3 linked regions of the Bombyx mori genome follow. The main gene of each other region encodes a partner of the protein of the gene in region 2 in a complex. Links are inferred from orthologs where the notes say so. Each region holds a gene or a part of one and is shown on either strand. Other genes may lie near its edges.

Region 1 (3,516 bases), on a different chromosome or scaffold from region 2:
TAGACCATTTCTTAGAAAATCATAATTCAAAATTAGAGAATTTTAAAACATTCACCACTTTCGCTATTCGGTATCTCGGTTATGGGAAAAAGGTTGTAAGGCTACAACGAGCTCAATTTACGTTGTATATCAGAATAACGTGGTATTTTAATTAACAATTGATAGGTTATAGTTTCCGGTGCATCGTACAATACATTGAAAAATAATAAAAGTAGTAGAGTAATTGAAATTATGACAAAGTAATTACAGTACATTAATAAATTATGCAACCAGCTGTAACAATAAACCTAAAACTAAAAACCTTACAAAATAATAATTACAATAATAATTGCCATAATCGGCAATCTATTTTTATATAGCGCTTTTAAAAAATTGTATTTTTAATACCTTTTTTGAAAAATATTGTGTAATTAATAATAACTTAATACGTGATTCGCTACAATACAAACAGCTACTAGACTTAACATGTCCGCGGAACTAAACAGCTTCAAACAGCTACTAGACTTAATATGTCCGCGGAACTAAACAGCTACAAACTACAAACAGCTACTAGACTTAACATGTTCGTGGAACTAAACAGTTCCGCGAACATGTTTACTGGAACTAGTTCCGACACTCAAAAGAACGATGTCATGTTCAATCCAGTTCCGAACATGATTAGCGCACGTCTACAACGGACTAAGACAAAAAACTTAATTGCAATGTTCAAGTTCAAACCAGTGATCTAAAATGATTTTAATCATAGATTATACACTTCTCTGATTGAAATAAAAACAGATTTTGACATTTACAGCGGTTTTTTTTAAGGAATTTTTGGACCTGGTAACTAAGATCTTTAAGTCATGTCTTATTATTATTAAAATTCTTATTTTATGAAAAATGATAATATGGAGTGAAATGAAATGAAATGAAGATTAATTTGAAACATTAATCAACTGGGATTAAATTAAATGAAATGAGATGATATGGGATGATATATAATCTCAGTAAAATGGTGGTCATTTACTGTGACTTTTTCAATGGACTTTTTGGAAGATTCCCACATTTATGCACTTTCACAGATACTAAACAGCTATTAAGTACACATTGAAACCTGAAGAAACACTAAATAGACAAAATAAAACAAATCACACAACTTCACTCTTCGCGTTCCCGCCAAAAAGTCTATTAATATTATAAATTAGTTACCTACTACATATAGAGTGGCTAATCGAAGAGTTTTCTCTATGTTATTGGATATATCCATTTATAAATAGAGAATGGTTTTACTTTTTTAAATTGATGCTTCTTCAGATTTTAACGAGCAACATTAGTGGCTTATAGGCTTTGTAGTATCGGTGAAAAAGCACAAATATAGAAAAATTAAATCGATTTGCTTAACATAGCTTTTTCCGAAAAGTCCAATGACGTTTCTACCGTTCAGTAAAATACTGAGTATTTTATTTTATCTCATCTGAACTCCTTTAAATTCTATTTCATTTCTTTTAAAATTTTTACTTAAGTAGTGTAATATTTTATATTTTTTATTGTTTTTAACATTTTCTTTTTCGTGTAATAAAAGTGGCTGTTTCGCTAAGTTTCATTTGCCTGACTAATTAACAAATAAGATAGTTTGATTGATAGCAATGATAGCTACGTAAACTTCAAAATTAAGTAAATAACTAAGGTTATTTTTATCAACTTTATAGGAAATTTTTGACGATGAAATAACAATAAGGAGGTTGAGTTTTTTTTAACCATTCTGTTAAATAGCACACTTAAAAGTGAACGATGACTTTAATATCTAAATTTTTACCGCTTTTACGGAACGGTAGCACCACTGAAAAGATTCCTGCCATATTACAAACTAAATTTAGAACTAATACCCGTTACTTCTCTTCTGAAAAAGAAAGTGGTTTGACTAAATCCAAAAGCAAAGAAAGTGCTTCCCATGTATCTACAGATGTAAGACCCTTAGGAGAAAAAATCAAAGAAACTACAAAAACTGTTTCTTACACCGGCGTAATACTTCTCGGTGTCGGAGTCACAGGTGTGATTTTCTTTTACGTTTTTCGAGAACTGTTCTCAAGTAACAGTCCGAACAGCATTTACTCAGAAGCTCTTGAGAAGTGCAAACAGGTAAATTACCTTGTGTGAAAGAAATCTTGTTTACATTATGATAAATTTACAGATTATTTAATAAACAAGGTCAAATTTTTCTATATCATTAATCATTAGCATTGCATAATGCAGAATGCAGTACAGTAGTCAGTATTAAAGTAAGTAATGAACAGGGGAAACAAACACTATTTAAAGTATTGTTTACCAAGTATTTATTAAATTATTGTCGATTGCAGGATCCTAGAGTAGAAGATGCTCTTGGTGCACCAATAAAAGGTTATGGAGAAGAAACAACTAGGAGAAGACGTACCCATGTCAGTCATGCAGTATATGAAAAAGATGGAGTGAAACATATGAGAATGAGATTCTATATTAAAGGGATAAGAAATAAAGGTGTTGTTGAACTTGATATGAAACAAGTAAGTTCTGTTTAAATAGAAATGTGTTTAACAACTTAAAAGTTCAAATAACACCATACATCTGAATAATTTGTATACACCTCATCAATTTCTTATAATCTCTGTTTAAAATTTTCTATTTTAATAAATTCATTTAAAATCTTTCCAATTCACCAGTACACTTGTTTTTTCAGAATGATTATGGAAACTATATGTGCAGATATTTGCTGGTACAACTTGATGACTACAGTGGAAAAACATTTATAATTGAGGACAACCGAGCTGAATTAGATAATACCAAACCTGATATCGCATTTCCAACCTTAACTCTCACTCAGTGATATAAAATTAACTATGTAACATGTAAATAGTAAAGTAGATATCGAATAAATGATTAGCAAAATAAAATTGTTTCGTTTCATATTATTATGTAAAGTTTTAGTTTAAAAAATAATAAATATAGTGAGCACTTTCATATTGAAATCTTTTAAATATATAGAATACTATACCTTCTTCTGACACCATAAGAATAGTTTTGGAATATGAATCTTATTAATTAAATTCTTTGAGCCAATGAAACTTAATGCTTATAATATCATTTTATTGCAAACATTAAAACATGTTTATCCTTATTAATAATTAAAGTGAATTTTACAGTGAAGACTAGAAATTGGCACAAATCAATTATTTCGCAGTACAATTTTATAGATCTTACATAAGTTCGTCATTCAAATGTTTTCCAAGATTGTACTTTCCATGACATGAGAAGTCGATTGGTAAATATAAATTCCTTAACTTTATTGAAGAACCAATGGAATATCACTACAAAAGAGAGATATTGAGGCCAAGCCCACTTAAACTCTTCTAGTATACTAGGAGTGTATCTTATTTGCATCTCTGGAATTCTTAGATGAACTTGAACAGTCATAGAATCTGTCTGGCCATTGTAGGTTCTAGAATTTATCGTTCTGACTTCTGTGGTAACTGAAAATAGTTTATTTTTTGGTTATGAATGTAG
Region 2 (4,143 bases):
TGTCAAACATTAACATAAATATCTGAAGAAAGGTGCTGTACCATCTATATTTTCATGGAATATGAAACCAGTTTCTGAAGAAACAAAAAGTAGAGAAGTTATGTAATTTTAGAGAAGGAATTGTCAATAAAAATAATTAAAAATATTCCTGATTTTTTATTTCGACAAGTATGTATAGTTATAATACAGATATTTCTCATACAATGCTTCTTTGAAAATATTTTCATAAAAGATATCTAATTTATTTAACATATTATTTATAAAATTATTGTCTTTTTCAACATAAATCACTTTGATGTCCTTGTAGGTGTAAATGACCAAGTTGCAGTATGTTTTGCCTGAGCAGTATAACTGTCATTGGATTTGATAATAATATGGGCAGGTTTTTTTAGTGACAATATCCCGTTACATTGTTCTAAATAAGGCACCGTTGTTATATTTATTTCATGTTTTCTGCTAGCGTATGGACATTTCACTTCAATTATAGCTTCTTCGCCCAACACACCATCAGGAGATGCAGCAAGATATGGGCGCTCTTGGCTAATGAAAATGCCTCATGGCTCCACTAGCAAATCATATATATTAGCATATTTTGCTAGAGCATTTTTTTCATTTTGTTTCAAAATTAAAATTTTGGTCATATAGCTCTAATCTGAAAAAAGTAAAATAATATATTAGTTGGTAGGTAATGTGTGTAATATGAGCAATTCTTTTTGCACATGCTACAAGGAATAAAGTTCCTAAGGTACACAATTTAATATTATTATTATAATAGCTACCGGAAACAGTTTGAGAGAAGTTTTCTAAGTTAAAATAAAACATCAACATTGTACCTTTCGACAATATCCACTTTTTTTCTTCGTAAAGATGCAACACGTTTTCTCAACTCCTCCTTTAATTCTTTAACTATCCAGTTGGAATACATGTTGTAAAATTGTTTAGCACTACTTAGAAAGTAATAAGAACCGTATCAAAGTCACAAAATGCCAAAATATCACGAACGCAAAACACACAAAATGGCGGCTCTCTGTGACAAGGGAACAAGCTACGCTGGCGACATCTGAGAAAAGCTTTAACCGGCCAACCCCATTGGCTTTTTTGCCTTGAAATATAAAATTAAATATGAAAATATTAAACTTAAGAATTGGCTGTATGGCTTAGTTCCATTGCCTTTCTCTTCGAGAAAAACCTTACTACTACTACTTTCTCTGAATACTTACCTACTTATCTATTATCCTAATCTGTGATACATATAGGTACCTACTTAAAAGTATATAATCTATGCTACCTACCTACTACCTACATAAATAAATCACTTGGTAGGTTACAAAAAAGAAGGAAGTAGATACAGAATGTTTAACAATATTTTTAAAATATCGCGAAATTTAAATATCATTTCCAATACTTTTATTAAAAAAGGATCTGTCAGTAATGTGAGATTTAATACGAATATTGCAAATATTATGCGATCACAGAAGGTCAAAAGAAAAGAAGAACCGACTGAAATATACAAATGGATCTTACTGGTAAGGTTAAAAAGATATGATTTTATTCAATTTTGAGTTCGATTTTAGGCTTTCATCTTACAAACCAGAGTAAGCAGGTCTAAGAACTGTTAAAAAATGTAAGTACATCATTTTTCTTCTCAGGAGGATCATCATTAAATTAAAATGACTAAATAATACTTAAAGGGCGTTTATAAATAAAGGAATGATGAAAAATGTCCTATAAAATCTCGTACTTACAAAAAAATTATCCTCAAAGCATGTAAAAAAAAAAAATAAGGATGATTTAAAATGAGAAATATGTGCTGTCTCATTGAGAAGAATATATTGACATTCATCAACTCACCTCAAATAAGTAAACGTAAAAACGCATGATTATATGTAAAATGAATATATATAAAAGTTGCCTAAAGATATCAACAAAATTTTATTTGATGTTGATTAATTCAAATTTGGCAAATAGCATCTTACTCGAGCATCTTTAACAACAAAGTAGTTGAAACATCAGAAGTGTATGAATGAAAATGAAAAAAGAAACATGAGATAAAATAGTAAAAAAATCTTGATGGTATATTATTTTTTTATCATGTTTAGTTCTATAGAAAATTCTGTCTATTAATTTGGCCCTGGTTGTAATGAAACATTAGAAATTGTAAAGGAAAAAATAAACATCAAATCAAACAGTAAAACAGTCTTGTAAAGTCTCTTTGGCCTTATTTTCTGTGTAATTTATGTTGAAGATAAAAAGATGACTATAACTAATGTTGATGAATCATGAACATTTGTATTAATTTTTGTAACACTTATTAAGCTATTACATATTTTCTAATCAATATAATATATGTAGATAATATATCACACATGCATATATTTATTTTTAAAATTTTCTTTCATTCCAGATGATACCAGTTACTTCCTTTACTCTTGGTTCATGGCAAGTGTACAGATGGCAATGGAAGCTGGGGCTCATTGACATGATGCAAGCTAAATCCAATGCTGTCCCAATCGACATGCCAAAAGAGTATGCTGATTTCCAATAATGAATTTAACTTTTACTTTCTGTAAAATTATGTTTGCCTTCACAGCATTTCTGATTTTTTTAAGTATTACCAGAATTCATAGACACTGCAATATGAATGCAGCGACACACCATGATATAACATCAAAATTTAAGGTGTATTGTATCTACTACTACTATGGGTACCTTTCTGCACTTGTAGTTGATACCTACTTTCATGCTAACTCACTCCCATAATATAGATTGTATGCTAAATTAGAAACATTGTGAGTTTGATTTCATTAAATTTTGAGATGCTCAAACAATTATTATATTTATCTAGAATTATATTAATATATCTAATGAAAAATTGTGTTTCTCAAGCTTTTCAGAATTAGAAAAAATGGAATATTTACCAGTGAAAGTAAAAGGAGAATTTTTGCATGAAAAAGAGATATTAATAGGTCCTAGAGCACTCATAGAAGAGAGTTCTATCACCAATAGAGTTGGTTCACTTGTATCTGACCCGAAAAAAAACCAAGGGTGGTTGGTGATCACTCCGTTTAAGTTAGCTGACACAGGGTATTACCAAAATGAATGAAATACAATAATACTATTATAAACAATATGTTAAAAATTGAATTTTTTAATTATCACATTTTGTTAATTTCAGAGAAGTCATCTTGATAAACAGAGGTTGGATTCATCAAAATTTAAGGCCTAAAGAAAAGCGAGAGCCATCTTTAATAAAGGGTCCTGTTGAGCTAACTGGTGTTGTAAGGTTAACAGAGAAAAGAGCTCCTTTCATGCCTAAAAATAATCCAGAAAAAGGCTCATGGTTTTACAGGTTGAAATTTTTTTATTCAATGGCCTAACTCATGCCTCATGACAACTCTTTGTGGAAAAGCCTTCTTTATTGCCAATAATGAACGACAAGCTTGCAGTCCATCTGATTTTAAATCTGCAGTTCATTTGTACATATTTGAAACTATGAAATTGTTTTTTTTTGAGAAGTTTAAAAAAAAAAGCAAATTGAATAAATATTTATTCAGCTTATAAAAAAAATTGAATTTTGTCTGAATAGGTTAAATTATGTGCAAGAATGTTCATAATTAATAGTTTTGGATATTTCTGCTCTGATCTACGATTACTATATTATGATAATAGTAGTCCTCTGAAGAATTGTTTTAAATGATTCAGTTCTGATTGAACATGTAACTGGCAAAGTAGTTTAGTTAACCATAAATATATGGTAACTTTGCAAGTAGAACAATTTATAGTTATTATGTGGATGAATGGCTTCACTTTATATACAGCGCATTTTCAGAGAACTATCATCCTAGTATTGGAATGTCTCATCAGCCTTAACTATACTAAGGCATGTATTTCAAAGGATGGTTGAAGAGTCCTTAGATTTAGGGAATGAGCTGTTTTGCTAAGTTTTTGTCTTTGTTGGTGTTCATGAGTGACAGTAACTAGGATCTGGTGAGCCGTAAGTTAGTCTGTCATCAAAGGCATTAATAATGTTATGAATATTTTCATCATGATCACTTGTTGAAGGCAGAGTATAATTGTGAACATTTAAAATATTTGTACTCACACGCCCATATACTGACGTTTTGATAATACAATAAAAATATA
Region 3 (2,929 bases), on a different chromosome or scaffold from region 2:
AAAGCGTTGCGTATTAAGCATTTTAATGTATTAATGTTGCTTAAATTAAATATCCTTTCACCACTCGACATGGTTTCAAAAGGTACAACTAGAATGTAAGTAACGATGCATCCATAGACCAAATTAATATGAGGCAGCTTGCTTATATTTCCACAATATTTACTTACGGCGATATTGAACTATTCGTGTACGATATTCGCTTACAGTATAGTTTATGGAAAAAATCACATGTAAATATCTCGACGGATATGACAAAATTAAATATTTTTATATAAAAGTGCTCCACTGTTTTATAAGGCTTTAAAGTATTTGAAATTCGGCGAATATATCGCGCTATTTGCAATTTCGAAATTAAATATCTATACACTGTGTTATGTTTTATTACTTTTCTAAATATACACCAAATCGGATGATTAACATCTAGATAGATTCTTCCTCAATCTAGACAGATAGATGAGATCCATTGTACAATACAATTAAGATCTATGGGATCTAGATATCATCTGCCGAAGAAGCAGAATCTACAACATACTACAAGAATCGAAAGTACAAAAATAATAATGAAAAATCTTAAAAGATATATTAACTCAATTTTATTGTTTGAAAGCTTTTTATTTACAATACTAATTAATAAAGTCAATCTGACAACTACCTAAGGTGAATTTGTATCAATCATGCTCCGGTTTCTTTCGTTCGAATGGATCGGACCATACTTTCATATCTGTAAAGACAGAGTACATTTTCAATGTTTTTCATCTTCTGTTTTCTTTTTTAGATTGGATGAGCTCACAGCCCACCTGGTGTTAATTGGTTACCGGAGCCAATAGACATCTACAACATAAACGCTGCTACCCACCTCTGTCAACCATGTCAAATATAACTAACTATACCACTAAGTTTATCATTCACAACTTTGCAGTTACTGGTTTAGTTGTTTATATATGTGATTGGAGCTCACATGCACAATATATGCTTAAAAATCACTATAAGCTTATTCTTTTTTATAAAGTTAGTTACCACTTTAATTACTATACAATTGAGATAAACAACTAAGTCCCACAGTTAATTACAACGTCCATGTGTTATCTGAGGGTTCCGGTAAGCACTCACCACCAGTTGGGTCGTGAGCTCATTCATCCATCTATACAATAAATACAAAGTTTCTAATTATATTTCAACTCTATTACTAAAGTTTCCATGGCAATAGCTTTTAAACTTACTTCCAGGTTGGATGTCTTCTTGTCGTATGTTTTTTCTAGCTTCTTTTTGAATCTGTTCTGAAATTAAATTGAACAACAGCCAAGTTAAGAAACAAAGTAGTGAAAAATGAAGAAATCGTAATACCAGTAATTTATTATCTTACTGTATTCAGAGACATCGATCATCGGACTTATTGCTATCGGATAAAGAGTTAATCCTAATAAACCAATAAAACCGCCGATAAAAGCTGTGTAACGCCAACCACGAAATATAGCCATTTCAAAATTTTATTTTCATGAAATGTGTACAGACATTCAGAATTATGAGTTTTATCGATTTTGATAATTTGTATTTCGACTATAACCATATAACAAATAATATCCTGAACTTATATTATTGATAACCAGCTGATTTTCAAATGACATTTTTTTTTTTTATTATTGTCCACTAAGAGTAGTAAAAGAAATATTTCTCATACAGCCTAAGCTAAATTTTTTGGAGTGGGAGATAAATAATGTTACCTAAACCAAAAATTATTTTATTAGAATTATGTAAAATATTACAAATTTACTGGAACTTCAATTGATTTTTCTAAAGAACTGGGAAAGTATCCGCAACAATTCCACAACTTTCGGGTGATCAGTCCGATTGCCCGTGTCATTGATATTGATATGAGTTTCTGTATCATCCTCCACGTCGCTTATTTTTTTCTTTTGCGCTCTAGTAATTACTGTTAACAATACTGAGTTAATACATTTTAATTCGTCCGAGTTTGTTGGTAACCTAGACAATGCATCCGATACGCAGTTATCTTTTCCTTTAATTTAAGTGATATTAAAATTGTATTGTTCTAATGTTAATCTATGTTTTAGCAATCTACTTGACGGATTTTTATTCCAAACAAATATATTACATAACGGTTTATGGTCAGTTATAATTGTGATTTTTTTACCAAAAAGATATGGCCTAAAGTACTTTATTCCCCACAATTGTATGCATTTCGACAAATACCAAACAACCATTAAGAAAATACTAGTTTACTGAAATAAGGTCTAAAACGCCTCGCTATTTTCCTTACAGTAGTCTAAGACATACCTAGACTTCTTTATCGTACGCATTAACTTCAATTTAGTGTAGGAAAGAGATCAAAATATATTTAGGGTGTAATAATACATATAACAAAATGTCCGCTGTGAACGTATCAAATACCACGCTACAATAACACGCTCTGATCAATAAATAGTACCTCAGGATGTCGCAAATTTACCAGAGACCAGTCCAGATACATCCTATTTCCTATGAATAGCTGTGTTTAAGAGGCTTGTATAGTCCAGTCATTAAAAGGGGTTGATCTCGGAAAATCGACCTACCCAGTATATTACCACATGAAAACCTGTATTTTGGCATCCTAAAACTATTCTACAAATTCACATATAATTGGATAGCCGCAAGTTTTAAAATCAGGGATCAAGGGTACAAAGTCGATTTTTTTCACATTTTTTGCAAATATATCGTTTTCTATGGGTTTTACGCTGTTTGTATTTATTGTTAATATTGTAGAGAATTAAATTCTCCACAACTTTTCTATTTGACATTTTTTTAAACTCTGTAATCAGAATATGAACATTAGAATTATTTTGTAATATTGTAATGGTAGCACCTAAGTTCAAAGTTGCTAATTTTAAGTTTGGCGCTTGGCAACTCTCTCTTCCGTTTCAGCCATATAGGC

The links.
Region 1: Surf1 (region 2) and mitochondrial import inner membrane translocase subunit Tim21 share a complex: the UniProt entries of both Homo sapiens proteins name them as parts of the MITRAC (mitochondrial translation regulation assembly intermediate of cytochrome c oxidase complex) complex. The link is inferred for Bombyx mori from reciprocal best matches to the Homo sapiens genes SURF1 and TIMM21.
Region 3: Surf1 (region 2) and small integral membrane protein 20 share a complex: the UniProt entries of both Homo sapiens proteins name them as parts of the MITRAC (mitochondrial translation regulation assembly intermediate of cytochrome c oxidase complex) complex. The link is inferred for Bombyx mori from reciprocal best matches to the Homo sapiens genes SURF1 and SMIM20.

The regions. Positions count from the first base shown.
Region 1 is NC_085110.1:12,601,669-12,605,184, reverse strand, and holds mitochondrial import inner membrane translocase subunit Tim21, read left to right. Parts: upstream 1-1,338; 5' UTR 1,339-1,770; coding exon 1,771-2,118; intron 2,119-2,336; coding exon 2,337-2,519; intron 2,520-2,692; coding exon 2,693-2,839; 3' UTR 2,840-2,906; downstream 2,907-3,516. Other genes in the region: transmembrane protein 231, read right to left, coding at 3,223-3,482. UniProt on the Homo sapiens protein: Participates in the translocation of transit peptide-containing proteins across the mitochondrial inner membrane.
Region 2 is NC_085107.1:11,546,231-11,550,373, forward strand, and holds the start of Surf1 (surfeit 1), read left to right. Parts: upstream 1-1,255; 5' UTR 1,256-1,352; coding exon 1,353-1,526; intron 1,527-2,404; coding exon 2,405-2,526; intron 2,527-2,886; coding exon 2,887-3,084; intron 3,085-3,175; coding exon 3,176-3,349; intron 3,350-4,143. UniProt on the Homo sapiens protein: Component of the MITRAC (mitochondrial translation regulation assembly intermediate of cytochrome c oxidase complex) complex, that regulates cytochrome c oxidase assembly.
Region 3 is NC_085120.1:2,850,711-2,853,639, forward strand, and holds small integral membrane protein 20, read right to left. Parts: upstream 1,660-2,929; 5' UTR 1,479-1,659; coding exon 1,364-1,478; intron 1,278-1,363; coding exon 1,221-1,277; intron 722-1,220; coding exon 669-721; 3' UTR 577-668; downstream 1-576.